Linked DNA regions of Mus musculus. The protein of the gene in region 1 purifies or fractionates together with the protein of each later gene. This does not show direct contact. Links are inferred from orthologs where the notes say so. Each region holds a gene or a part of one and is shown on either strand. Other genes may lie near its edges.

Evidence for each region.
Region 2: the proteins of Ncbp1 (region 1) and Kpna4 purify together in Homo sapiens (co-immunoprecipitation; 3 studies listed by BioGRID and IntAct, with this or other methods). This does not show direct contact. The link is inferred for Mus musculus from reciprocal best matches to the Homo sapiens genes NCBP1 and KPNA4.
Region 3: the proteins of Ncbp1 (region 1) and Kpna2 purify together in Homo sapiens (co-immunoprecipitation; 5 studies listed by BioGRID and IntAct, with this or other methods). This does not show direct contact. The link is inferred for Mus musculus from reciprocal best matches to the Homo sapiens genes NCBP1 and KPNA2.
Region 4: the proteins of Ncbp1 (region 1) and Ncl fractionate together in Homo sapiens (co-fractionation; 3 studies listed by BioGRID and IntAct, with this or other methods). This does not show direct contact. The link is inferred for Mus musculus from reciprocal best matches to the Homo sapiens genes NCBP1 and NCL.
Region 5: the proteins of Ncbp1 (region 1) and Ddx39b purify together in Homo sapiens (affinity purification with mass spectrometry; 6 studies listed by BioGRID and IntAct, with this or other methods). This does not show direct contact. The link is inferred for Mus musculus from reciprocal best matches to the Homo sapiens genes NCBP1 and DDX39B.
Region 6: the proteins of Ncbp1 (region 1) and Pabpn1 purify together in Homo sapiens (co-immunoprecipitation; 3 studies listed by BioGRID and IntAct, with this or other methods). This does not show direct contact. The link is inferred for Mus musculus from reciprocal best matches to the Homo sapiens genes NCBP1 and PABPN1.
Region 7: the proteins of Ncbp1 (region 1) and Alyref purify together in Homo sapiens (affinity purification with western blotting; 6 studies listed by BioGRID and IntAct, with this or other methods). This does not show direct contact. The link is inferred for Mus musculus from reciprocal best matches to the Homo sapiens genes NCBP1 and ALYREF.

What each region holds. Positions count from the first base shown.
Region 1 is NC_000070.6:46,145,011-46,148,510, reverse strand, and holds part of Ncbp1 (nuclear cap-binding protein subunit 1), read right to left. Parts: intron 3,138-3,500; coding exon 3,037-3,137; exon of another isoform or gene 3,008-3,036; intron 1,133-3,007; coding exon 976-1,132; intron 1-975. UniProt on the Homo sapiens protein: Component of the cap-binding complex (CBC), which binds cotranscriptionally to the 5'-cap of pre-mRNAs and is involved in various processes such as pre-mRNA splicing, translation regulation, nonsense-mediated mRNA decay, RNA-mediated gene silencing (RNAi) by microRNAs (miRNAs) and mRNA export.
Region 2 is NC_000069.6:69,085,593-69,089,092, reverse strand, and holds part of Kpna4 (importin subunit alpha-3), read left to right. Parts: intron 1-1,504; coding exon 1,505-1,636; intron 1,637-3,277; coding exon 3,278-3,406; intron 3,407-3,500. UniProt on the Homo sapiens protein: Functions in nuclear protein import as an adapter protein for nuclear receptor KPNB1. Binds specifically and directly to substrates containing either a simple or bipartite NLS motif.
Region 3 is NC_000077.6:106,996,726-107,000,952, reverse strand, and holds the start of Kpna2 (importin subunit alpha-1), read left to right. Parts: upstream 1-1,427; 5' UTR 1,428-1,594; intron 1,595-3,617; 5' UTR 3,618-3,640; coding exon 3,641-3,715; intron 3,716-4,227.
Region 4 is NC_000067.6:86,352,956-86,356,455, forward strand, and holds part of Ncl (nucleolin), read right to left. Parts: coding exon 3,416-3,500; intron 3,373-3,415; exon of another isoform or gene 3,305-3,372; intron 3,239-3,304; coding exon 3,097-3,238; intron 2,190-3,096; coding exon 2,065-2,189; intron 901-2,064; coding exon 777-900; intron 326-776; coding exon 171-325; intron 1-170. UniProt on the Homo sapiens protein: Nucleolin is the major nucleolar protein of growing eukaryotic cells. It is found associated with intranucleolar chromatin and pre-ribosomal particles. It induces chromatin decondensation by binding to histone H1.
Region 5 is NC_000083.6:35,244,746-35,248,245, forward strand, and holds part of Ddx39b (spliceosome RNA helicase Ddx39b), read left to right. Parts: intron 1-2,191; coding exon 2,192-2,375; intron 2,376-2,429; exon of another isoform or gene 2,430-2,505; intron 2,506-3,500. UniProt on the Homo sapiens protein: Involved in nuclear export of spliced and unspliced mRNA. Component of the TREX complex which is thought to couple mRNA transcription, processing and nuclear export, and specifically associates with spliced mRNA and not with unspliced pre-mRNA.
Region 6 is NC_000080.6:54,892,871-54,896,942, reverse strand, and holds the start of Pabpn1 (polyadenylate-binding protein 2), read right to left. Parts: upstream 2,801-4,072; 5' UTR 2,788-2,800; coding exon 2,449-2,787; intron 2,096-2,448; coding exon 1,981-2,095; intron 1,315-1,980; coding exon 1,247-1,314; intron 1,127-1,246; coding exon 1,020-1,126; intron 1-1,019.
Region 7 is NC_000077.6:120,595,566-120,599,778, reverse strand, and holds the start of Alyref (THO complex subunit 4), read left to right. Parts: upstream 1-1,413; 5' UTR 1,414-1,440; coding exon 1,441-1,674; intron 1,675-2,012; coding exon 2,013-2,144; intron 2,145-3,711; coding exon 3,712-3,859; intron 3,860-4,058; exon of another isoform or gene 4,059-4,171; intron 4,172-4,213. Other genes in the region: Anapc11 (anaphase-promoting complex subunit 11), read right to left, coding at 411-519. UniProt on the Homo sapiens protein: Functions as an mRNA export adapter; component of the transcription/export (TREX) complex which is thought to couple mRNA transcription, processing and nuclear export, and specifically associates with spliced mRNA and not with unspliced pre-mRNA.

The DNA.
Region 1 (3,500 bases):
AGAATGGCCCAGGCAGAACAGGGCAAATTATAACTCATGGTTACTGACAGGGAAGTAGACAAAATAGTTATACAGGATTGGTATCTGCCCAGCTCTAGTGCTGTTAAGGCTTATTACAAATGTGTCTTTTATCTGGAACTGAATGACTTAAGGCAGCGTAGAAACCCCCGATTAATATTAAATATTTACCACAACAGTTAACAGTTTCTGGGGAAGAAGGGATCTCCTTCAGTTGTGTAGTCACTACTAAGGTGCCCATGTTCCAGTAAATGACTTCCCACAACTGTATGCAAGCAACCCTAATTAAACTCAGTAAGTCACCCATGTGCAAAAAGGACATCAGAGCGGCTAGAATGGGCACAGCAAGAGGAGTGGGGAAGAGATAACGGGGACAATGTGACCAGAATATCTTATATACAAACATGAAACTGTTTTAAAAAACGTTCTAAATGTTCTAATATTTACTCTGTGTGGCCCAATGAATCATTTCGTGTATCAGAATTTTAAAACCACGCACTATAAAACACGGGAAGGAAATGAAGCTTTTAACCAGTAGCCAACATGAGCTGAGCCTAGTCATACAAAGGCTATACTGCTGCTATTATTGAAGACAGACTCAAAGGCAGAGTAGATGCAAACCGGCAAGTACAGAGGCAGCTAAGAACACAAAAAGAGTTACAAACTGTGCTAGAAGCCATGGGAACAAAGAGGATTTAGGAGATAGGATTTAGAGAAAATAGAGACAGAAAAAAGGAAGCAAAGAAAAGCTGAAAATTAATTTCAGATCTCTGGATGGCTTACCCAGTAGACAGTAGCCCGGAATGAGCTTACAGGAGAGGGGTGTAAATAGCAGGAATTTCAGGACTTGCAGTAGTTTTTTCCTTCATTTCAATACTAATTTATAATATATTATAAATTATACACATATAATTTATATATATTATACACACATTCATACATACATATTAAACTTACCAAATATACAGCTTCATTATAGTTATTTGCTTTTAGTGATTCTTTAAGTTGACGAATCATAGCTTCTACAAATTCTCCTCCAAAGTTGTAATTCCTGGCATTCAGCAGTCCAACTAATGTTGTGTAAATTGTTAGCTTCTCAGGTAACAGACGTGCACTGATTTGAGAACCCGTACAAAACAACCCCAAAACAAAGGTTAAATAACTCTGGAACAAAATTTTTTAAACTATGCTTTGAAAATGACTTCTGAAAAGACACAGCATCACTGGGCAGTGTGCAGATACAGATGCCACTGTTTTTCATTATAGTTAATGCAAGAGTTAACACACAGTTACTTGTGAAGTTATCACACCAAAATTACTGCAATTCATGCTAGAGCAGTTTTCCTTCAAGTGTGTGGAGTGGAAGTGAGTAACAACCCCACAGCAGATGGTTTCTATGGTAATCTCTGAAGTGTTCCATGAGATGAGATTCTTTAATGCAGAATCAGTAGGGAACAGAGCATTCAGAGCTTCTACACTTAGCTGGCCAAACACCATGGGACTAGACTTCCTCTTGGAGAAACATTATTGGATTGCTTATACAAAATAAAGAACTAAAATGAGTTTAAATTAAGTTCGTATAAGAAATGCTTAAAGCAGGGCCTGCTAATCAAGTTGAGAACATGCGGAGGACGGGTAGATGGCTGATGGCTGAGAGGGTTACAACTCTTCCTGGCCAACCTGAGTTTGAGAGAACGGATTCTTCCAAGTCTTTCTCTGACCTCCACACATGCTGCAGCACAGTGTACCCACACATGCACACACACACACACGCACACACACACACACGCACGCACACGCGCGTGTACACACACACTAAATGAAGCCTTGAGTCACAGCACAAAGGGAAAGCAAGTCAGTCCTAATGATAAATCTGCGGAGAATCCTCTCACATTGTTTTCTAAGGTATCTTGCTGGGCACAGGGAAGGATGCAGGAGCTCAAAAACTGCTTGTACTGAAAGTACACCATGGTCCCTAAAGCTTTCTCCAAGTACAAAGATTTTAAAGGGCACTGCCAATCAATACCAAGCTCAGCCGTACACAAGTAAGCATGGCTTCTAACAACTTCACCCAGCGTAACAATTCTGTAATACTATCAAAACAGAGGGTATCGTATGGATAAGTATAAATGACTGTTTTCACAGTTTCTTAGTCTAGATATACATTTCTCTGAACTGACTGGATTCTATGCAGACAGAATTTATCTATGGGTCTAGAGAGCCCGACTGTTAAGAGCACCTGTTCTTGCTGAGGACTCAAGTTGGGTTCCCATCACCCACATGGTGGCTCATAACTGCCCATAACTCCAGTTTCAGGGCATCCAATGCCCTCTTCTGACTTCTACAGGCAGAGGAGTAAAATGCCCATATACAAAAAATAAAGCTTTAAAATTAGCCATTATTTTAAAATTCCTGAAATGGTAACTACAGCATCAAGGACAATTATGTCATTAAAAGCTTCTAGAGCATCGTCAGCCCTCAAGAGAGGCCACCCACACACACACACACACACACACACACACACACATCCATACACACCCACACCCACACACCCACACACACACATCCATACACACCCCCACACACACACATCCATACACACCCCCACACACACACATCCATACACACCCACCCACCCACATCCATACACACCCACACCCACACCCACACCCACACACACACACGAGCTAAACTCTACTTTAAACATCTAAATGTGATGCACTCCTTGGTGGGGGAAAAAGGATCTCTAAATAAGATATCCACTTTCTCATCTATTTTCTGAGTTAAAAAATTAACTTCAATTATTTTAAAATTCTAAGAAACAAAACATAAGGAAAACACTTCATTTTAGTCCTATTTATCCCTTTAAAAACTAAGTTCAACAAAGGGCAAAGATGAACATTCCTGAGCACGAGTTTCAGGACTAATTAACATGAGGAAGTCCACCGAACATTCCCCAAGCACACAAGAGTAGATAATACATCATCACCTGGATCCACAAATCGTTTACATACATACACTGTACAAAGGAGCCTTAAGATCTTGCTCTTGTAGTTAGGAAGATCAGCTTCTAAAACACCAGCCAGGCCTTCGAGATTGCTCTCTAAAGAACAGGCACTCTGCAGAAGACATCATCATCATCGGTTAGCGCTCAAGCAATCAGTGAATTAAAACTCTTGGGTGACCATAAAGACAGTAAGGTCTCCCATAAGGCACTGTAATTCCTCAGGGAAGAAACAAGAACCGATGACAATTTCGTGGACAATTCCCTCTGCATCAATCAATCCCATTAGTTACTGTTCTACAAAAAGTCAACGAAATCTTCCAAGCTGGAAGACAGCGTGGGCTGCACTCTGTCTCTCACTAAAGGTGTCAGTCTGCTTCAGGTCAGCTGGAGGAAAGACTATTCCCCAGGTCTGTTTAAGACTTAGCTAATGAAAATTACTTACTGAAAAAACTTAATGATTGGAAGGAATCCCAGG
Region 2 (3,500 bases), on another chromosome or scaffold:
ATTTTTTTGTTTGAATTTTTCTTTTAAGGACTATCTTCCACAAATACTATATCATTTACTAAATAATATTTGCTATATGTTATATTAGTTAGAAATTCACTCTTAAATCAGCCCTCAAAGACTTAAAAGGAGAAATTACATTGTAGTTATATGTAGTTACAAATATGTAAGAATTCTAATTGGATTTGAAGAATTTCAATCAGGATATGTTAACAGCTTATTTAACATTGGACCATCATAGAATGTATCAAGTTTTTATATAGAATCAGGAGCAAGTAACTTACATTTTTTGCCTTTGTCAACAAATTTTAGGCTATGATGAAACTCTAGACAAAGATCCTTATTTGTAAATTGAGATGTAATTGTTTTACATATGTTGATACCACTTTGTAAAAATTCTTTCACTGGTGTTGGGTTTTGCTTATCAAGACAGGGTCTTAGTATATGGCCCAGCCTGTCCTCTGTCAAAATCCTTTTTCCTAAAGCTACCTTGTGCACCCACCATAGTTTGCTGTTCGCTGGCTTCTTTTTCTTTGAGGAAAAGGCAATATGTTTGTGTGTATCTTTTCTGGACTGCCTCTGCCCTGGCCCTGTTCAGTGTATACTGAGGAAGGTTTCCTGAGAGCAGTTACAGGCAGGCACCACCATGATCAACTGCTTGCTTAAATTTCTAAAGGACCTGTGGTTGTGCTGTCTCCCCCTTCGGCGGTATCCTGATTGTCTTAGTATTGGTTAGGAATTGGAAAGGTTTTAAACTTCTGCTTTTTGTTACAGAGTTCAAAGGGTTTGGAGTCCCAGATAGAGTTGTTATTCCTGAGGGAGTTTTTCGTAAACAATTGTGTTCTTTATATATCACATTTTAACTGTCTTTTTATCCTACTGTTCTTTGGCCATAGTTTGAAGTTGGGTTTAAAATACAATGAAGGATCAAACACATGACTTGCATGTGTCAAAGTGTCATCATTATTATAAATTAATCAAAAAGCCTCTCTTCCCCATAGTAGTAGTGATACAAATTAATTATCTTTTTCAGGAATTAATATTTTTATATATGTCTTGCATTGATTTTTTTCTGTGGTTGGTTGGTTGGTTGGTTGGTTTTCTATTTATTATGCTGTGTAATTTGCATGTGTAGTTTGCTGAATTAAGATTAGAGACTGATATAGAATTTGGACTATAATTACACATCTTAAAGTTACAAAATAGAGATTGATGTTCTAGTGAGTTGAAGCAAGAAGAGAAAATCTTACATTATGGTTAAGAATTATTAAAATAGCCGAGTGTGGTGGTGCACGTCTTTTAATCCCAGCATTCAGAAGGCAAGGCAGATGCCTCTCTAAGTTTGGGGCCAGCCTGGTCTACAGAGCAAGTTCCACACAACTAGAGCTGCACACAGAGAAACCCTGTTTCAAAATCCTAACCCCCAACCCCCAGCAAGAAAAATCAAAAAGAGATATTAAAATGAGAAAATATTGAATATTTGAACTTTTCTTTTACATATTAGATCCTGGTAGATACTGTCTGGGCCCTGTCTTACCTTACGGATGCTGGCAATGAACAGATACAGATGGTAATAGACTCTGGCATAGTTCCTCACTTGGTTCCGCTACTCAGCCACCAGGAAGTTAAAGTTCAGGTAGGTTTATTTTGATTAAGTTGGGTTTTTCTCACCATGCTTTAAGCAGGACATTCAAAGATTAAGTTTTTTAAAAAATTAAAGCATATTATTCACTTAAAGATGTAACGTGTCTTTGATGGGAAAAGGTGAGTTACTTTATCTTAGTTTTAAAGGTGGAGAGAAATTACTGCAATTCATTAAGAACGGCCCTTCCCTGCCAGACAGGAGACACTACTGTGAAGAACTGATTTTTAATACCAAGAAACATGGTTTAATATAGCACCTTGGGTGGCATCTAAAACCATTCCTGTTTGCTTTTTCCACTCCGCCCTCCCACTCCCGTGAAAGCATCTATTTTTCCTCATCTAGCAATTTGGTTAACACTGACTTACTGATATTTGTCTGATACTTAGCTGAGATAAAGTATTTAAACTGATATGCAGTTTAAGGACTTCCTAATTGTTTCTCTATGTTTTAATCCTCTTACATATGCTTTATTTTAGTGAGCCTCCATCTATAAAAAGCTAAAAAAAAATTAGCTGAGGATATAGCTCAGTTGTACAGCACTTGCCTCACTTGTACAAAGTTCAGGCTCTACTATAACACACACACACACACACACACACACACACACACACACAGTGATAGTTAACTGCAGTGGTAAAGTAGAATCAGAAAACCTTCCCTACCTTTTTAAGGTAAATAATGGTTTTTAATCTTAGAACGATCTGAAGTCAACCAAGCAGTTCTATAAGGAAAGCTGTTATTCTAAGTTACTTTCTCTTGCCCTTTTCTGGACCTTAGAATCAAACTTAAAGCTTAAAGGTGAAGAAAAAAAAATGTTTTTTCTTTCCCTTCTTTACCTCCTAGATATTCCCTACAAACTTAAGATAGCTCTTAAAGTGATACTAGTGTATGGTTAACAATGAAGATACATTTACCTAAAATTTAAAAAGTACTTGAAAGATGGCACAGTGGATAAAGTATAGGAGGTGACTACTTGAGGCTCCTCATCCCCACTGCTTAGAGTCTCCCTCATAGTCTCCCTAAAGCCTCCCCCATCTTAGGTCTTTGACTCTCTCTCTCCATACACCTGATCCTCTGTCAACATTCCTCCTTCCATCCAGTTGTCTCCTCCACCCACCTGATGATGACTATTTTGTTTCCTCTTCTGAGTGAGAGTCATCAATCCTTCCTTGGGTGGTCCCCCTTATTACTTAGTTTCTTTGGGTCTGTGGCTATTCTATACATTATGCCTAATATCCAGTTATTAATGAGTGCATAGCACACATGTCTTGCTGGGTCTGGGTTACCTCACTCGGGATGATATTTTCTAATTTCATACGTTTTCCTTCAAATTTCATGATGTCCTTGTTTTTAATAGCTGAATAGTATTTCTTTATGATAGTAATTATTATATAAAATTACCCTTTTATTGATGCCAGTTCTGTTGAAATAACTTAAGCTCCTTAAGGCCTGAAATTGTATATATTTCCTATTTCTGCTGTTTCTAGATCAGTACCTGAAATACAGTGCTCAGAAAGGATAGGTTAGTTGCAGTGAAAGAACTTCATGAGTGACTGAATCTGTCCCGGGTTGCCTGACACTGGTTGATAAGAGTTCTTAATATCAAACATCTCGTTGCATCTCGTGTTTCAGACTGCTGCACTGCGAGCTGTGGGCAACATTGTCACTGGAACTGATGAGCAAACACAAGTAGTTTTAAACTGTGATGCTCTCTCACACTTCCCAGCACTCCTCACTCATCCCAAAGAGAAAATTAATAAAGTGAGTATTTTTAAAATATTAATAAAATGGTACTCTTTGTTTGTGGAATTAGGTTCCATGAATGTCTTAAATAGCATTGACTTTTTAGTATAAG
Region 3 (4,227 bases), on another chromosome or scaffold:
CTAGGCAAAGGTTTGTGATTCTGTGTTCAGAATTACTCAAGTTTTAAAGTATTTGAAGGCAGGCAGTGGTGGCACACTGCCTTTAGTCCCAGCACTCTGAGGTCTGTGGAGTTCAGTCAGGTCTACAGAGACACAGAGAAACCCATTAAGTGTGTGTGTGTGTGTGTGTGTGTGTGTGTTTGGGGGAAGGGAGCAAAATAAAGAAATAAATAAAAAATTTTAAAGGTTTGGAGAAAATAGGTATTAATAAGTTATTGGTTTTTTGTTTTTGTTTTTCGAGACAGGGTTTCTCTGTGTAGCCCTGGCTGTCCAGGAACTTACTCTGTAGACCAGGCTGGCTTCGAACTCAGAGAACTCAGAAATCCGCCTGCCTCTGCCTCCCAAGTGCTGGGATTAAAGGTGTGCGCCACCACCACCGGGCTAATAAATTATTGTTACCATATTTGCTGCTTCCATTGTCCTTTTTCTTTTTCTTTTTTTTTTTTTTTTTTTGCTTCTGTCCTGGAACTCACTCTGTAGACCATGCTGGCCTCGAACTCAGAAATCCGCCTGCCTCTGCTTCCTGAATGCTGGGATTAAAGGTGTGCGCCACCACTGCCCGGCTTCCATTGTCTTTATTTTCCAAGTAATCTAAAAGTTTACCACACGGGACAAAGTGGGGCATGTCTGTAATCCCAGAACTGACGTTGAGGAAGGATTGCATTAGGTTCAAGGCTAGCCTGGGCTCTATTGTTAATGTGAGACCCTGCCTCAATCCCACTCCCCATGATAAAAATTAAATAACCAGTAAATAGCACAAACAATAATATAGCGATACAACTAATGATTGCCTAAAGATAAAATAATCAACAAATACTATAAACAATATAGTGATACAACTAATGGTTAAGAGGCACACAGATCCACGTTCTCCCGGTGACCAGCTCCTGATGTAAAATTTTTTTAAAGTAAATATATTTCTCTTTTCTTTTATTGATTGATTGACTGATTGGTTGATTGAGACAGGGTCTCACTATTTAGCCCTGGTTGGCCTGGCTGTATAAACCAGGTTTGCCTTGAACTCCTAGTGCTGGGATTAAAAGCCTGCGCCAATCACCGCAAGCTAAGCCTTTTTTTACAAGTGTAATAATAATTTCGTGTGTTTGTTTAAGGACAAGCCCAGGGAAAGCAAACAGGGTACGGCCCAGTGTCCATCTAAGCATAGACGAAACGCAGGTCTCCATGCTGTGTGCTGAGATCTGGAGTCACCCTTCTGCAAGGCACCCTGGGATTGCCCGGCCGCTCCCTCATCTCGCGACGCTTCCCTGCTTACCGCCCCACCCCCACCTTTTTTTTTTTTTTTCCCCTACGACCTGCGTCTGCGTCCCACCCCCACCCCCGCCTAACGTGTTTTTCAAACCTACCAATGAACGCGCAGCTTAGGCTCAAATCAGCCAATCGGAACGCGGCGTCACCGGGAAATTTAAATCGCGCCGGCCGGCAGCACGAGGCACAAAATCTGAGGGCTGAAGGGTAGCAGACGTTTCCACAGCCGCCGACCCGCAGCTTGAGTGTCCTGCACCACCTTTCGTGGAAATCTGAGCCGGCTGTACAGGTAGGAACGGAAGCCGGTCCTGAGCAGTAACGGCCGGACGGAAGGCTGCGGGGCGGAGGGCGGGAGCAGGCCGCGCCCGGGCCGGAGCTGAGCCTCCCTGCTCCGACCAGGCCTCGGGGCGGGTTGGTTTCGCCACGCCGGGGTCAGGGTTGGCAACGCCGGGCGCTGCGGAGGGCAGCGAAGGCCTGGGAGCGGCTCGGGTCGGCGTGGAGGGACCGGAGGGCAGCCGCAGTCGAGCGGACCTACCTGGCTGTGCCGCCGCTTTCCTGATGCTTCTGCCCCGGGGAGGAGACGCAGCTTTGGGCAGGGGATGAAGGTGGCAGTTAAGACACCCCAGTTAAGCCCTTGACCCGGATCACCTGGGTCAGGGTCGAGGACGGACATAAAGCAGTTAAACCTACTAGCTTACCAGGGTACTTTGGGTTCCTGTCCCTTCGCGACGACCACACCTGGGTTCTATCGAGCCCCACTGATCACAGCTGATGTCATCCCGGCTGAATGCATTCTCTGGAAGTGTGTGCAAGATGCGGCGTTAATGCCATTGCTGACAGCGATGATGTGATGGAAGGCCCTATAATGGAACGAACCGATTCTTTATGTAACTTGCAAGAGGGTACTAGTATGGATCCGTTTTGGCCATCGATCAACAGAAAACGAGAGCTGCGTTTATTGCCTTAAGGACGTAGATGGTTGCCAGGCATTGTTGGCGCACGCCTTTAATCCCAGCACTTGGGAGGCAGAGGCAGGCCGATTTGAGTTCGAGGACAGCCAGGGATACACACAGAAACCCTGTCTCGAAAAATAAAACAAACAAAGGACGTAGATTGTTCTCCTACTTGGTGTTCTATTAACTAATGGAGCCTAGAATTTAGATCCTTGACTTAATACCGTGCTGGCTAGAGGCTTAAGACTATTGAGTGTTTGAAAAGCCGCTAATCTGTTGAGATGCCCCGTGTGCTTAAACTACCCATTGGATTTTGAAGGTGTATAAAAACAGTAAGACATCTCAATTTTTCTGTATTGATGACATCCTCAAATGGTAATAGTTTAGCTATATTGGGTAAAAGTCTTAAAATTAATTTCCTTCCTTCCTTCCTTTCTTTTTGTTTTTTCGAGGCAGGGTTTCTCTGTGTAGCCCTGGCTGTCCTGGAACTCTGTGGACCAGGCTGGCCTCGAACTCAGAAATCCTCCCGCCTCCCAAGTGCTGGGACTAAAGGAGTGCGCCACCACTGCGGGGCTCACTGTGGTTAGTGGAAATTTTAAATTATCTTTTTTTAAAATTTTTTTTGATTGACAGTTAAGTTGCCTTTGTAGTAAGGGGCAATTATGGCTTAGTATTATAGCCATAATGATGAAAACTTGTAGGATTTTGTTTTGTTTTTATTTTATTTATATATTTTTGAGACAGGGTTTCCTGAGTAGTCCAGGCTGTCCTGTAATTCACTCTGTATACTAGACTGGCCACAAACTCAGATCCGTTTTACCTCTGCCTCCTGAGTGCTTGGAGTGCTTTGCCATCACTGCCAGGCTGTGTTGTGTCGTCATCTTTGTTTTTGTTTTTTTTTTTTTTTTTTTTGGTTTTTGTTTTTGGTTTTTCGAGACAGGGTTTCTCTGTATAGCCCTGGCTGTCCTGTCCTGGAACTCACTTTGTAGACCAGGCTGGCCTCGAACTCAGAAATCCACCTGCCTCTGCCTCCCAAGTGCTGGGATTAAAGGCGTGTGCCACCGTTGCTGCTTTTTAAATCTAGTATAGAAATGGAGTTGAGATTTAGTTGATTATAACATGCTATTGTATATTTCTGTTTGTTTCATCTTAAGATAGGGTTTCTCTATGTAGACCTAGCTGGCCTGGAACTCTCTACAGACCAGGCTGGCTTCAAACTGATAGAGATCTGGTTGTCTCTGCCTCCCAAGTGCTAGGATTAAAGGCGTGTATTACTCTACCCAGCTTCTGTTGCATTCTTATTAAAAATACTTTTTCTTTGTTTCTTTTTTTTTCTTCTCACCCTCCCTTGGCTCCTAGCTTTCCTCCTTGTTCCTGCAGCCATGTCCACGAACGAGAATGCTAACTTACCAGCTGCCCGACTTAACAGGTTCAAGAACAAGGGGAAGGACAGCACAGTGAGTACCTTCTGTTGCTTTCCTGCGTGCTTGTAAAGGGAAGGGGGATGTTTATATAACAACAGTTCTGAGGGACTGGGGATTGAATCCTAGAGCTTCACACTCAGGCTAGGTAGGTTTTTTTCTGTGCCCAAGCTTCATCTCTAGTTTTAGGTATTTAAACTTTTAAAATTGCATTTATTTATTATTTACTTTTGTGTATGTGGGGGGAGGATTTTTATGTGCACCTGTTGTACATGTAGAGGAATTTCCTCCTCTACATGGCTCTGAAAGATTGAAGGCCTCAGACTTGGTGGCAAGTGCCTTTATTCGCTGAGCCATCTCTTGTTGGTCTTTGAAGGATTTAAAAAAAAAATCACAACTGGGTGGGGTGCTGAACACCTTTAATCTCAGCACTTAGGAGGCAGAGGCAGGTAGATCTCTGAGTTTGAGGCCAGTCTGGTCTACAAAATGAGTTACAGGACAGCCAGAGCTACACAGAAAAACATTGGCTTGAAAAACCAAAAAGGGGG
Region 4 (3,500 bases), on another chromosome or scaffold:
TTTATTTGCCTACTATACTCCAAAGGAAATGATTTCAAATAGCTTTCACTCATGAAGACTAAACATCAGCTATATGAACAAAGGTGAACTAATTGTAGGTAACCAATTACTTAAAATACAAAGATACAAATGATTCCTGTTCCCACTACACAATAAACCCTTTAACTTACCACTCCAAGTGCTGGTCTTTCCAGTTCTCTCTTGCCTTTGACCTTTCTCTCCAGTATAGTAGAGTGAAACAGATCGTCCATCAATTTCTGCCCCCTGCTTTTCTTCCAAATTTTTCTCTGCATCAGCTTCAGACTTAAATTCAATATAAGCAATCCTGAAAGAGTACAAGACAATTCAGTTACTACGTTAGAGAAAATATTACTCAAGCATCAGTCATGAAGGACTTAGTCACATGTGCTTTTACTGTTCTTTTACTATGTATTAGCTCATCTTCATCCTTTAAACTGGTGAGGAGGAAAAAGAGCCAACACAATAGACTGAACTGCCTAGAATCACATTTCTCTCATAAAATAGGGAAGGATAGTACTTGTGGCAAAAGATGCCAATTTGGATTGAGCCTGTAAAATTGATCACAGCTTCAAAACCCATCAGTTGAGCATTTTTAATGTCAGAACTTGGGAGGTAGAGGCCAGAGGACCAGATATTCAATTTTCTGGTTATGAAGTTAAGTTTGAAGCAGCAGACTAGAGACTGTCAAGGACAAGGAGAGGGGAAGAAGACACTAAACTTAATAAAACTTTAACACTCAAAGACACAAAACATACCCTTTACTTTTCCCATCCTGGCTGACTAATCTGATCTCCATGGCGTCTTCAAACACTTCCTTTAATTCATCCTCAGTGATGTTGAAAGAGAGGTTTTTGGCTAGAAGTGTTCTTGCAGCTCGAACTATGTTGGAAAAAGATTTAATTAAGTACATCAATTTACAAGTCACAAGAGAATAAAGCAAATAATTCCTATAAAGTACAAGGATATATGCTAAAAAAAAAAAATGGTATAAAGGGATGGAGAGGTGGCTCAATGGTTACTAACCATTTGCATGAAGAGTACCCATGTTCAATTGTCACCTGATGACTCACAAACCCCTGTCCAGTTTCAGATGAGGCTCTCCTGGCTTCCCTGGACACCAGACTTATCTCCTTCCTACTTGTTTACATGTATATCATGTTCCTTAGACCATATGTATTAAGTTGTATATGGAACAAGTCTATTTAGACTTAGTTTCCATCTCTAAGATACCTCATCACTCATATGGTTCATTCTACATCAAAAGCCTAGATCCAGTAAGCATATAACATAGACTGCAGATTGAGCACACAGCAACCTTGTAAAATGAGCAAAAGGGGACAGAGGATATGTAGCAGTTTTAAGAGTGATTGCCTAGCAGGGCAGTGGTGACTCACGCCTTTAATCCCAGCACTTGGGAGGCAGGCAGATTTCTGAGTTCAAGGCTAGCTTGGTCTCCAGGACAGCCAGGGCTACACAGAAAAACCCTGTCTTGAGAAAAAAACAAACAAAAAAACCCAACAAATTTGCCTAGCATGTGAAAAGCCCACGTTCAATTTTCAGCACAACTAAGAAACAAACACTTAAAATCCAAATTCTGAAACTCAAAATATAGGGATCAAGAATTCATTTAAGAGATACGTAAGCTTCAAGCATGTCACGATACACATGTGGTCAGAGGATAAGCTAAAACTTTTTTTCCGAGACAGGGTTTCTCTGTGTAGCCCTGGATGTCCTGGAACTCACTCTGTAGACCAGGCTGGCCTCGAACTCTGAAATCTGCCTGCCTCTGTCTCCCAAATGCTGGGATTAAAGGTTCTTCTCTCTTCATGTGGCTTCTAGAGATCAAACATTTTGCAGCAAGCATCTTTACTCACTAAGCTATTCCTCCTGTCAGCCCTGACATTATATATCCCAGGAATCAAACCTGTCAACAAGCACATGACCTATGACATCTCATTGGTTCACAATGAGGATGAAACTAAGGAAGAGGCACCAGACTGCCTAAGTCTGTTAGTATCCAGTCACCCAGACCCCCTTACATACCTTTCTTACTATCTCTTCCTTTTGGTTTTTCTAGTTTAATTTCATTGCCAAACACTTTTAAACCAGTGAGCTCCAAGGCCTTTTCTAGGTCTTCAGCAGACTCAAAGTCCACATAACCAAATTTCCTTGAAGATGGAAAAAACAAGATTACAGGTATGAGAAGGTGATCTGCACTTATACCATGTGGCACACACACAGAGCATCTACAGCACTAACAAAAATAAAACTAGATCACCCTTATCTTCCATAAAACCAAGTCCAAAGGCTGGAGAGATGGCTCAGCGGGTAAGCACATTGACTGCTCTTCTGAAGGTCCTGAGTTCAAATCCCAGCAACCACATGGTGGCTCACCACCACCCATAATGAGACCTAATGCCCTCTTCTGATGCATCTTAAGTCAGCTACAGTGTACTTATGTATAACAACAAATAAATCTTTGGGCCAGAGCAAGCAAGGACTGAGAGCAGAGCGAGCTGAGATCCTAAAAATTCAATTCCCAACAACCACATGAAGGCTCAAAACCATCTGGACAGCTACAGTGTGCTCATATACATAAACAAATCTTAAAGAAAAAAAAACAAAAAACAAAACAAGTCCATGTACCAAGACATTACAACAAATTCACCTCGATTTCTTCATTCAGTATATTGTAACTAACAGCAGTAGCTAGCATGGACCCCGCTAAAAGTACAGAGAATACTTTTAGCTAAAAGCATATGACTATGCAGATCCATAGTTGTAGATACTGCACAAAATTTTATGTGTTTAATATCTTTTCTTCTTTAAATTTTATTTTATCTTTATCAAGTCAAACACAGGAACTTCAAATTGCAGGCCCTATGACTCGATGATTTAGTTCAATACTATAGTCTTTCTTACTGCAGCTCCTTAACTGTACTTAAGGCCACGAGAGGAGACAACTGACTTTTACTAACATAGTTAGATATAGCCCCATGTTTAAAGGCAGGGAAGAATACAACTGGAAAGTAAAAATTCTAGCTGATACACATGTAACATTCAATTAAAACTTACCTATTTGTACCAGTTCTGACATCCACAACAGCAAGATCATTTTTAGCAAAAAGTTCACTGATGGCAAATTTTAATTCATTAACAGACTTGTTTGGATTAAGGTTTCCAATGAACAGATTGAAAGGTGTAGTTGGTTCTGAGCCTGCACACACAAAAAATGAACTTTCAGCCCACTTAAGCACACAACAAATTTCATCATAAACTATAAAGCACATCAGCATATTTCATTTCAACCCCATGGTTCAGTATTAAGTCCCTTTGTCACTCATCACTTGTGCTAGTGCTACTCTGATCTGTTTCCCCAGTTTTGCAGGCTTACCTTCTACTTTCTGTTTCTTGGCTTCAGGGGCTTCTTTCTGCTTGGTCATCTCCTTCTTCCGTTTTCCAGGTGCTGCTTTAACAGG
Region 5 (3,500 bases), on another chromosome or scaffold:
TTTAGGTGATACCACCGCAACACTTTGTGGTTAGTTGGTTTTGGTATTGCAGATTCCATTCCAGAGCCTTGAGCTACTATGTGTGGGACTGAGCCACCCCTGGGTCCTTTGTTTTTATGTTCACGACTGTCTCTTAACCACCACGTTGTCCTGGTAGGCCTTGAACTCACCTTAGTCTAGAGATAGGAGGCCTTGAACCTGAGGCTCCTGCCACAGGTTCCTGAGTAGTTGGGGCAGGCCTTTGCCACCTGGCTTGGCCAGAGCCTCTGTTCTGTTCTCCTGAATTGCTTGGTAGATTGTTTGAGAGTTGGGTTGTATGTGGCAAGAGGAAGCTAGATGCTCTTAAAACAGCCCTGGTGTGGACTTTAACTCTAGAGTGGTTAAAGCTTTCCGGGGGTCATAACAAGTGGCCTGTGTCCTCTGTGAAGGAACGTGGTGTGGCCTCACAGTTGGCATCCTTTGGAACTTTTGAGATTATATATTTCCATGCTTGGGTGAGTGGCCTGCTGGGTTTGAAAGGCCTTGTAAGCTGGCCCTGTGAGTAGAGAGATGTGTGCAGACTTCCTATTCTGGTTAGGGTGGGGAAAGAGCAGCTTGGATCAGTCTGGGCTGACCTTTGAGTCAAATCCACCTTCCTCTGCCTCTACTGGGATTAAAGGCGAGCATCTCCACAACCGCCCAGCATGACAGATTTAAAAGGGGGAATTCTAGAAGAAGAAAAGGAAAGGCAGTATGTGCAAAATGCTAAAGGAGGCCAGAGATCTTGTGATCTCTGAGGTTTCCATTGCTCGGCATAACCAAGCATTAGACATTGTTTTCCTAACCTGTCTGTGTGCAAGCTTACTGGCCTCTGAAACATTTTAGCGTATTTATATATCTTTTTCCTAGGATTTTGAAAATAGTTTGTAATCTGGAGGCATTGTCTATGTCTGTGTGCCTGTGCCTCTGGCTGTATGTCATTATACCTTGCCAAAAAACTAATAGACTTTCAGTTCCTTGGCTGACCGGTCCCTTGTGGTGGATTTAATAGTTGGGAACTGAAGCTGGATCAGTGGCTCATTCCTGTATTCCCATGGCCTGGGAGGTTGAGGTGGGCGTTTGCTGGAGTTGAAGGCTGCCCGGGGCTAAGGTCTCAAAACAAAGAGGGAGGGTGGCAAAGCTGCAGTCCTTCTCTGCAGGACCCACAGCACCCTTGTGCTACTCAAAATGCTCTGAGAGTTGGGATCAAGTCTGAGGTTGGGTTTGGTGTAGGAGCCTGCAGATTAGCTGGTTAGGTCCCCCCCCCCATCATAAAATCAGAATCATCTGTACTTCTCCTTGGCTGTGCAGCACAGTGTCCTCTAGGGGGCTGTCTAGTCCCTCCCTTAGTTTTAGCTCGCTTTTCCCTCAGTATTTGTAACTATGTCTGAAAGCTTAACTGATACCAGTAAACCATCGTGAACAGGAGTGGAGTGCTCCTGTGTGCATGTGTTAGCCATTGTGGTTCAGGATTGAGAAGAGGAAGAGGTTTACTGTAGAGTAAGCGTCCTGGTTATTTCTTTCCCCTTGAAATTGGACAAGTCCACGTGTCACAGCTCACACATCCAGCACTCACCTGGTGTCACAGCTCACACACTCACCTAGTGGGTTGCACATGGTGTGACTTTTATCTCAGGCACCGAGGAAGCAAAGGCTCCAGGCCAGGGAGACTGTCTGACAGTTCAGTTAGGAAAGCTTGCTTGTGGTTTGATCGTTGGGTGGCGCCTCACACTTGCTGGTGGCTTCTTGCTTTCTTCATCTGTGTAAGGAAGCTGTGACTTTGGAGTCACACGTGCCTCGTTGTGTAGATCAGCTAGGGCTGTGCAGAGCGATCCTGTCGTGGAGTTTGAGTGGAGGCGGAGAAGCTGAGTGTTCATCCCTTCCTCCATCCCCCTTGGCCCCCTGGTGCTGAGGGGGTCGCTTTGTTTCTTATGGGAGGCACAGGAGCCACTGCAGGCCTGAAAGCTAAGAGTTGGTTTACAGTCAACCACAGAATGGACACACTGGTATTGGCAAGATGGCCCACTGCCTTTAATCTGTACTTGGTGCCAGACAGGCTGATCTACAAAGTGAGTTCTAGGCCAACCAGGGCTATACAGTGAGGCCTCTCAAACCAAAGGGATGGGGGAGAATTCTGGGAGACTGGAACATTGTCCTTTCTCGTGGTTGACAGGTGGCAGTGTTTTTTGGCGGTCTGTCTATCAAGAAGGACGAAGAGGTGCTGAAGAAGAACTGCCCACACATCGTCGTGGGGACTCCTGGCCGAATTCTAGCCCTGGCTCGAAATAAGAGCCTGAACCTCAAACACATTAAACACTTTATTTTGGACGAGTGTGACAAGATGCTTGAACAGCTCGGTGAGTGGCGGTGCCCAGGCCGCAGCTCAGGTGGTTTGGGGAGCAGCCCTTTGAGCCAAATGATGTATGTTTGACATAGGAGCACTTGTGTGCAAGGACGACCCTTATCTATCACCCATGACTGATGGCTCTGGGCCTCCTTCTCTTCCCCTGGTGCTGTACAGTGATGCGGTGTGCTCAGCCCTGCGCTCCTTCCTGTAGCAGGGAACTGAATGTGCTGACGCTACAAGTCCTCACCACCACCCTCTCCTTAGGGATGGACCATGTACTGGGTGTTACACAAGAGCAGCAGGTGCCTGCCCTTGTATCCCAGTATAGCATGCGTGATAAGGATGAAATTTCATTAAGAGTTTCTTTGGGGAGTGCTAGAGAAATGGCTCGTTAGTTAAGAGCACTTGGCTGCTCTTGCAGAAGACCTCGTTTCATTCCCAGCATCCATATGAAAGCATATAACCACTATACATAGCTCCGGTTTCCAGGGGTGCCTGAAACCCTCCTTTGGCTTTTTTGAGCACTAGGTGCATTCGTGTTGCTTAGATGTACATGGAATGAATATAAATAATAACATAACGGAGCTCCGGGTGCTAGTTTTGGCACATGCCTTTAATCCAAGCACTTCAAGAGTCTAAGGCAGGCGAGTCTCTGAGTTGGAGGCCCATCTGGTCTAGAGTCAGTTCAAGGATATCCAGGACTACACAGAGAAATTCTTGAAAAAAAGGCTTAACCTGCCTTTAATCCCAAGGGCTACATATCGAGCTCTTATCTTTAAAAGAGGTGGGGGAGAGAATTGATTCTGTTGAGTTGGGAGAGTAGAAAAGAGTGTAGCTCTAGAGAAAAGTCTTTACAAATGGCCTTTGACTGTCTCAAGATGGCACTCTGGTGGCATTAGATCGGCTGTATATGTCTCATGGAACAGGGTATGTGAGGCGAGAGGTGAAGGTGGAAGGCACAGTGGACTGGTGTAGAGATTAAGTTCTGAGATGGGCGTAGGGAGAGCAGCAGGAAAGGGCCTTCAGCGGTATTTTCTTGGAGACTGTATGTATGTATGTATGTATAGGTCTTCTTGTGTAGAACTAGTTGGACTGGAAATTATGTTAGAAACCAGGCTGGCCTCAAACTCAGATT
Region 6 (4,072 bases), on another chromosome or scaffold:
ATAATCTGGCCATTTTATCAGACTTTACAAAGAGCTTACAGGTTAAACCCAACTTGTAATACAGTTAACTGGAAGTATAGTATGCTAACATTTTAAAAACTTCTAAACATTATTGAGTATAATGAACAGTTTATAATCCCAGCTTCTCAGTAGGCTGAGACAGGGGAACCTAAGTTCATGGTCTGTGCAAGCTACAGAGCTGCTAAGACCAACCTGGGCCACTTAAGAGAACCCATTTCACAATAAAAAGTTTGAAAAGGTGTGAGTGTATGACATGCCTCAGTAAGAGGACCTGCCTAGCACACATTCTAAGTCCAAAGGTTCAGTCTCCAGTAGCACCAAAATTAAATCAACAAGACCCAGATTTCTATATAGCCATACACAAACAGCTGGTGCTGACTAATGCTGCCCTCCCTTTCTAGTTTACAATCCCACCCCTGCCCAGTCTTTAGTTTATTACCTGGTCTCTGAAGGCATTTAATATACAACTACTGATATATAGAGACACTTAACAGGCAAAACCTACTTGTTTTAATAAGCAATTACTATTCTTTGGGAAATGTTTTTTTTTGGTTTTGTTGTTTTTTTGAGACAGGGTTTCTCTGTGTAACCCTGGCTGTCCTGGAACTCACTTTGTAGACCAGGCTGGCCTCAGAAATCCCTGCCTCTGTCTCCCAAGTGCTGGGATTAAAGGCGTGCACCACCACGCCCAGCTCAAGTTAGGCCAGTCATGGTGGTATAAACCTGAAGTCTAATCCCAGTTTAATTCTGAGTTTAAGGCCAGCCTGGTCTATAGAGGTAATTCCAGTACAGCCAGGGTTAAACAGAGAAACTCTGACTTGAAAACAAAACCAACCGACCACATATATAAGAACCTTTAAAACGAGTTAACACTCTTTTGACTAGATTGACAGCACACATCAGCATGTTCAAGGTCCTAGGTTCGATTCCGAGCTCATGTATTTTTCACGTATTTTTAAAATGTGAGTAAAATGATCTCAACTTATCCTCCTACTTACCCTTTGGGATGGCCACTAAATTTGTCACAGAGTATAGTAACACGGTTGACTGAACCACAGCCATGAAAATGGGCTTCCAGCTCTTCTGCTGTTGCACCATAGTCCACCTAAGGAAAGGAACACTTGACAAGTACTGGGGAAACTCCAATTTGAACACATAACAAAGTAAGGAATAAGAAACAAAAGTCCCCCCCAAAACCCAAAGCAGACTATTCCTTGATACATACATTGCCAACGTAGATAGAGCGGGCATCAGCCTCCATCTTCTCCTCAAGAGACATGATCACTGGGCCAGCTTTTAGAGGGGAAAAAAATTACCTTAGGCAAGCACATCTTCTGCTCGATCAATACACACACACTTCCACCCGCAGGCTAAATTTTGGGTATACTTCTACTATACCAATTACCTATAACAGTGTTTAGCACATAGTAGGTTTCAATATACATTAGAGAAACTACCTCTTAAAAGACCATAAAAAACGGTGTTAAGATTTTACGTTTTTCAAGTCGAGTCTCTATTCAGCTTTAGCTGAAATGCCTCAAAGCAAACAAAACAGAATGGACTGAAATCTAACATTTTTAAAGAACTCCCTCCCTTACAGCCACCAGTCAGTTCCTAAGTCCTAACTAAAGGGTCTCCAACTGAAAAGTGTTAAGACTTGAAGGTCAAATGCCAGCTGATAATCGCCCCAAGAAGGGTACAGACAAACTAAGAACAAAGAGAAACACATTTATAAATGAGACAAAGGAAGGCACAAGACTATCTCTTCACCAAAACGGCTTGTGTCTAACAAAGGTCAGTAGAACACGTAATGGACTATGACCACAGCACCTGCCCAGAAAAAATTGCTCAGACGAGCAGCTTCATTCAAGGTCCCCGGCTTCTGCCACGCTGCAGTCTTCCCCCACTACCCTATCAACCAAAGATCCGGACTGTGCGTGCATGAGGCGATCTACTCACCATTGCCTGGGGGTGGACTCATATTCATCTGCTTCTCTACCTCGTTTTGTAGCTCCTTTAGCTTCTCAGCCTCTTCCTCCATCTCCCTGACTCGAGCTTTGATCGCTTCTAGCTCCTACAATGAATGAGCAGGGCATGCAGTTAACCAGACGCAGGGGCTGTGCCGTACATTTTGTCTGGGCCCGGCCACAGCCGTGCTCGGCCATTTCCCTCGCCTCGTGCGAGGGTCGTGATTGAAATAAAAAATATTATTTAAAAAAAACACGCAGAAAAAATGAAAAGAGTCAATTTACCTTCTCTAGAGCCACCCTAGACACCCATGATGCCCCACCAGGCCGCTCACGAACGGCCTCGGCCCGCCACCAGCCACGTTATTCCCCGCCCAACCCCACCCCCCGCCTGCCTGCCTCCTGTCCGTGCTCTGGGCCTCCCATGACCCGGCCCGCTCGCTCGCCCTCCTCCCCTCACCGGGTCCTCAATGGCGCCGTCGCCGGGGTCGGCCTCAACCAGTCCCGGCTCTTCCTCCTCCTCCTGACTGCCGGGGGCTCCCGAGCCGGGCCCAGGACCCGGAGCTCCCGGAGGGGCGCGGGGCCGGGGCGGCTCCTCTTCGGGCTCGGGCTCCGGCAGCAGCTCCCCAGGCTCCAGCTCCTCAGACTCCAGGCCGTTCCCGTAGTCCCCTGCGCCCCCCGGGTCCCCCTCCCCGGCCTCCCCACCGGCCCCGGGCACAAGATGGCGCCGCCGCCCCGGCCCGGAGCCCCGACCGCCCGCAGCCCCCGCTGCTGCTGCCGCCGCCGCCGCCGCCGCCATCGCCGCTCAGACTGGGGCCCGCCGATCGGCGATTGGAGAACTGAGCCGGCCACGCCGAGGATTCATTAGTCAGTCAGCCTGCCCGTTACCCCGAGCTCGAATACTATTGGGGAATTCTACTTGGCAATCAAACGAGGCCCCACCTCTAAGGCGGGCCACTGTGCCAAATTCTCTAAACCCGGTAGGTGAAATATGCCTGTCAATCAACACACCCCACCTCCTGTTGAGTCCTTAGGTAACAATACGCCCGCACTGTGACGACCTTCCGTTCATCCTCCACCCATGGGCGGGCCCACAACATGGAGGATGCTCCGCAATTGGCCTCTGACTGGTGAGGCGAAAAGGACCAATCTTCCAAACGCCTCACCGAAGTGGCCCATTCTTGGATGCCGATTGGCTTATGGGATTCGACGGGCAGACACCCGTTGTGCGACAGGTGAACCTTGCTCTCGAAAGGATGGCCTGGCTTAAAACTAGGGAATTCCTAGGCGGAGTGTGGTGGCGTACGCCTTTAATACCAGCGCTCAGAAAGCGGAGGCAAGTAGATTTCTGTGAGTTCAAAACTAGACTACTTACAGAATGAGTTCCCAGGCCAGTCAACACTACATAGAAAAGTAACCTCAAAAATAAAAAAAAAGTAAGGATCAGCAAACCTCACTCCCACTAGGAGTTGTGTCCCGTTGTTCTGCATAGGTTATTGTTTTAGACTAAGATTCAGCCAGTTTTCTTGCCTAACTTATTACAACACCCTCTTTTTCTTGGCCAGCTGACGTGTCAAAAATTCCTTACTTAGGGCTAGTTTGCAAGTATGGTCTCCACACTTTCCCCGGTTTACCCGAGGTTCACAGCTTTAGTCCCATATGTGCAGTTTCTCCTAAACCAGACCACCTCAGTGAGAATGCCTTCCACCAGGTTTCCCATTTTATCTTGAGACAAGTGGGCCTATTTCCACTGCACTCTTAACCGTTCTGTGCTCCTTCCTAGCTAAGCAGAGTGCCCGCAGACAAGGGGCCAAGTCCTGTTTATATTTCTATCCGCAAATTTGTGTGATTATTGGGTGACTGCAACTTCTAGGTGTAATTTCCTAGCTTCCAAACCACTTTGAAGACCACTGGGGGAAATTCTCCATGCAAATTCTCAAGACAGCTCTGCACCTTCAAATAACCATGAGATCTGGCCCTGGAGACGATAGTATGATACCCACACTCCAGAAGAAATTCCACACATTTATAAAAATTAAAGAACAGTAGTGCTAAATCTGCAAGAGGACGGACTTTTTGTAGAC
Region 7 (4,213 bases), on another chromosome or scaffold:
TTTTTGTTTTACCTGGTCTTTTATCAAGTCAGGGCTTTTCTTTGTAGCCCTGGTTATCCTGGAACTTGCACTGTTTGGCTTTTTGTTTTTGTTTTGTTTTGTTTTTTGTTTTTTTTTCAAAACAGGGTTTCTCTGTGTAGCCCTGGCTGTCCTGGAACTCCCTCTGTAGATCAGGCTGGCCTTGAACTCAGAGATTCACTTGCCTCTGCCTCCAGAGTGCTGGGATTAAAGGCGTGCAACACCACTGTCCGGTGGGGTTTCGGTTAGGGTTAGGTAACTTGTCCTGTTGACCAGGCTAAACTCAAACTCAGAGATCCTCCAGTCTCTGCCTACCCAGTGCTGGGAAACCTAGGGATTTTTAGGCTGGTGGAGTAGGCTAAAGTTCTGAGAGCGCATAGGAAGACACTTACAGTCTGGACAGCAGCCATTAAACGCCATCCTGCAGATGCCGCAGTTCTCATCATTGGCTACCCAGAGCCAAGTGGCCACACCATTCCAACATTTAATTTTCACCTTCATGACAACAGAGCCTGTGACCTGAGGGAAGAGGATGACCTGGAGTTAGTACGGAATACGAAAGCACCTAAGCTCAAAGTCATGGAGCTGCGGCAAGTGCTGCACTCGTCAAGAACGGCATCTTCCAAAATTCCGTGCGTCCCGACCAAAAAGAAAGAAAAAGGCACGTGTTTGTCTTTAAAGACGGCAAGGAGAGCCTGTGGGATTAATGGCACGAGTTTATTTTGCCACCTTTAAGGATGCCTTTAAAGATCTGCACTCATGTAGTCTGGCACGGTGGCACACGCCTCTAATCCCGGGGCAGAAGCAGATCAGCCAAACAGGAAACGAAAACAAACAAAAAAACAAAAACAAAACCTCCGCATCCACGCAAAACATTGGTTTTCACTAACCAGGGCCTCGCTTTTAAAGATATGGAAAGAGTGACTGTCACTAATCCGCGAAGTTAAAGCAGGGGTGAGGACGCCAGCTCGTCAGGAGACCGAGCCTTCGAGCAAAAACAACCAAGTCGGACCCACGGACCGGCCGGGACCCCCACGATCGCACGGTGAGGAGGGACGCGGGACGCGCACACTGCGCTGCACCCAGGCGACGCCCGAGGATCTTCCGGCCTCCCAGGGAGGCGCCCGCAGGCCCCGCCCCCTGCTCGCCCTCGCACCTCCGCGGCCTAATCACGAGGCGCCCCGCCCTTCCGTTGCCTCCGCGCGGGAATGTATAAAAACGACCGCGCCGCGTCGGGCTCCTCCGAAGTAGCGCCAGCCACCGCGGCGAGCCGTACGCAGGCGCTCTGCGGAATCGCGCGCGCCCAGACCAATCGCCGCTCGCTTCGGGCCCGCGACGCCGGAAGGCAGGGGGAGGCGCCGGAAGTGACGCCGCGGCGTGCTGACGCGCGGGCTCGATCCGAGGCCCGAATCCGCGCCCGCCATGGCCGACAAAATGGACATGTCTTTGGACGACATCATTAAGCTGAACCGGAGCCAGCGAGGAGGCCGCGGCGGGGGCCGGGGTCGCGGCAGGGCCGGCTCCCAGGGCGGCCGCGGCGGCGCAGTGCAGGCCGCCGCGCGGGTGAATCGAGGCGGCGGGCCTATGAGGAACCGGCCCGCCATCGCCCGCGGCGCCGCAGGCGGCGGCAGGAACCGGCCGGCGCCGTACAGCAGAGTGAGTGCGGGGACCTGCGGCGCGGGCCGGGGAGGGTGCGCCCGGGCCGGCCGGGACCGGGTGAGCGTCCCGCGCGGGACCGCGGCCGAGGGGTGGGCGGGGGCGAGGCCGTCCCGAGGCCAGGATCTTCCGGGACGCTTTGTCCGGTCGTGGTCCAGCCTCGTGGCGGCGGGGGCCGCTGCGAGAGAACTTGGGTGTCCGTAGCGGAGCGGCGGGGCTGGGGGACTCTCGGGGCTCCTCGACCTTGGCCGCGGGGCCGACGGGAGAGCGTCGCCGAGGTGTCGCGGGCTCCCGGGACGAGTCTCACGAGTGTCTCTGTGCTTACGGTTTCTCTCCAGCCGAAACAACTTCCCGACAAATGGCAGCACGACCTCTTCGACAGCGGCTTCGGGGGTGGAGCCGGCGTGGAGACCGGCGGGAAGCTGCTGGTGTCCAACCTGGACTTCGGAGTGTCAGATGCTGATATTCAGGTAGGAGACGGGAGCTCTCCGCTTTCCTCGTCCCACGCGGACGTGGGCTCCAGGATCCTTTACAGATTGGAACCTGCCCTCCCCTAGGCTGCCCAGAGCCAGCCACTGTCACCCTGAGAGCCTTGGCCTCAGAAAAAGTAGGGTTTGAGCACGACCCCATAAGCCAGGCTGCAGGAAGATGTCACACACTGTGTGTGTATGTGTGTGTGTGCGCGCGCCCCCCTAAAAATGAGTCCTGTCTGCTGTCCAAACTGTGAGCGCCTGCCCTGTGCCAGAGCTTACAGTTTCTAACCTGCACAGACTGGCCACAACTCCGGTCCCAGCATGACCGAAAGGTGCTTGCTTCTCAGATTTATGCTCGATATGGTGAACTGATAGGAGAAGGAAGTCCAGCATCTCCCAGATGCTGAGAAAGGTGGCTGAGAGTATCTTCCAGCCTGCGTCTCTGTGCTGGATCTTAACTGGCGATCTTTCCTGGGTCTTACCTGGGTCATGGTTCTCCATGCCTTCGAAATATTTTTTTTCTCTTCCCCTCCCTTCTTGGATTTTGTGTCTTTTTAAATTTCTTTATAAACTGGACCTCAGAGGCATTTAGAGTTCTCTGGTTACAAGGCATAATTTTGGGAATTAGCTTTGATATAGCCAGAACTGAGTCAGGTGTGCTGGGCCTTTCTGGGTACCGTTCCCCAGAGCCCAGCTGTTTGACCTCCCCATGGGAGAAAAGAACAAGGCTGGTGAGCACTCACAGTGTCTCAACACTTCTTTTTTTTTTAAGATTTATTTATTTATTTTTATGGATTTGAGTACAGTGTCACTCTCTTCAGAGACACCTGAAGAGGGCATCAGATCCCATTATAGATAGTTGTGAGTCACATTGGTTGCTGGGAATTGAACTCAGGTCCTCTGAAAGAGAGCAGCCAGTGTTCTTAACCCCTGAACCATCTCTCCAGCCTGTCTCAACACTTTTTTTTAAAGGTGGTTTCTGGCATCCACTGGAAACTGCTTTAGCTAGCTGTACTCCCCACTGTGTGCCTGCAGCTGAAGTGCCTTACTCTGTGGGTTCCCTCTCCAACTCCCAGCCAGGACAGGTTCCATGCTGCATTTCACTTCAGACTTGGCAGCAGCAGGCAGTAGGAGGAAAGGGGAAGGTGAGCTAGAACCTGCCTTTGCAGTAGGGGCTGTGTCACAGTTCCCCAAAATACTGGGCCCTTTGCGTTGTCTGCTCAATGGACAGTTTTACTATTGGCCTCTGGTATTTAGTGAAACGCAGTTAGTCAAGTTGAAAGTACCCCTGCTGAGAGAGAGTTTTGTAGTTTTGTCCTGTGATAGGACTTTGTGTCTTCCCTCATCTACAGCATGGTGTAATTACATTGTCCCACAGTGGACAGTAACCCAGTTGTTCGCGACAGTTGCTGTCTCCCCTTCCCTCAGCTCTTAATCTCCACTGCCTTGCCTTCTTCCTGGGTGGCTGTCAGTCAAGTACCTCTAAAGCATAAGGACTTACAGCAAGTGTTGCTGAGCTACAAGAAGGAAATTGGCTTAATTGCTAATTTTTACCCCTTCCCAGGAACTCTTTGCTGAATTTGGGACATTGAAAAAAGCTGCTGTGCACTATGATCGCTCTGGACGAAGTTTAGGGACAGCAGATGTGCACTTTGAACGGAAAGCAGATGCCCTGAAGGCTATGAAACAGTACAATGGTGTCCCTTTGGATGGTGAGTCTGGGACTGGGCCCTGGATGCCTGTGGGGCGTGTGGAGTTTGGGGCTGGCACCTCTCCCTGTAGGAATCTGGGCTGCCCCCCCCCCCTTGGCTGAGGATACTTTGCATTTGCCCCTTTGTCTCTCTCTTCCATTCTGCCACCTCTCATGCTGCCCCACACATCTGGACCAACCTCTTGTGAACCCCCATCCAGCAAGCTACATCCCTCCCCTCCTTGAGCTCCTTCCGGAAGATTCACTTCTGTGAAGCCTTCTCAGAACCGCCATAGTACAACCTGAGTGCGGGGCTGTAGTCGTAAAGACAAAGGTACCTGTTCTTCTTCCGTCAGGTCACCCACACCTGTCTGCC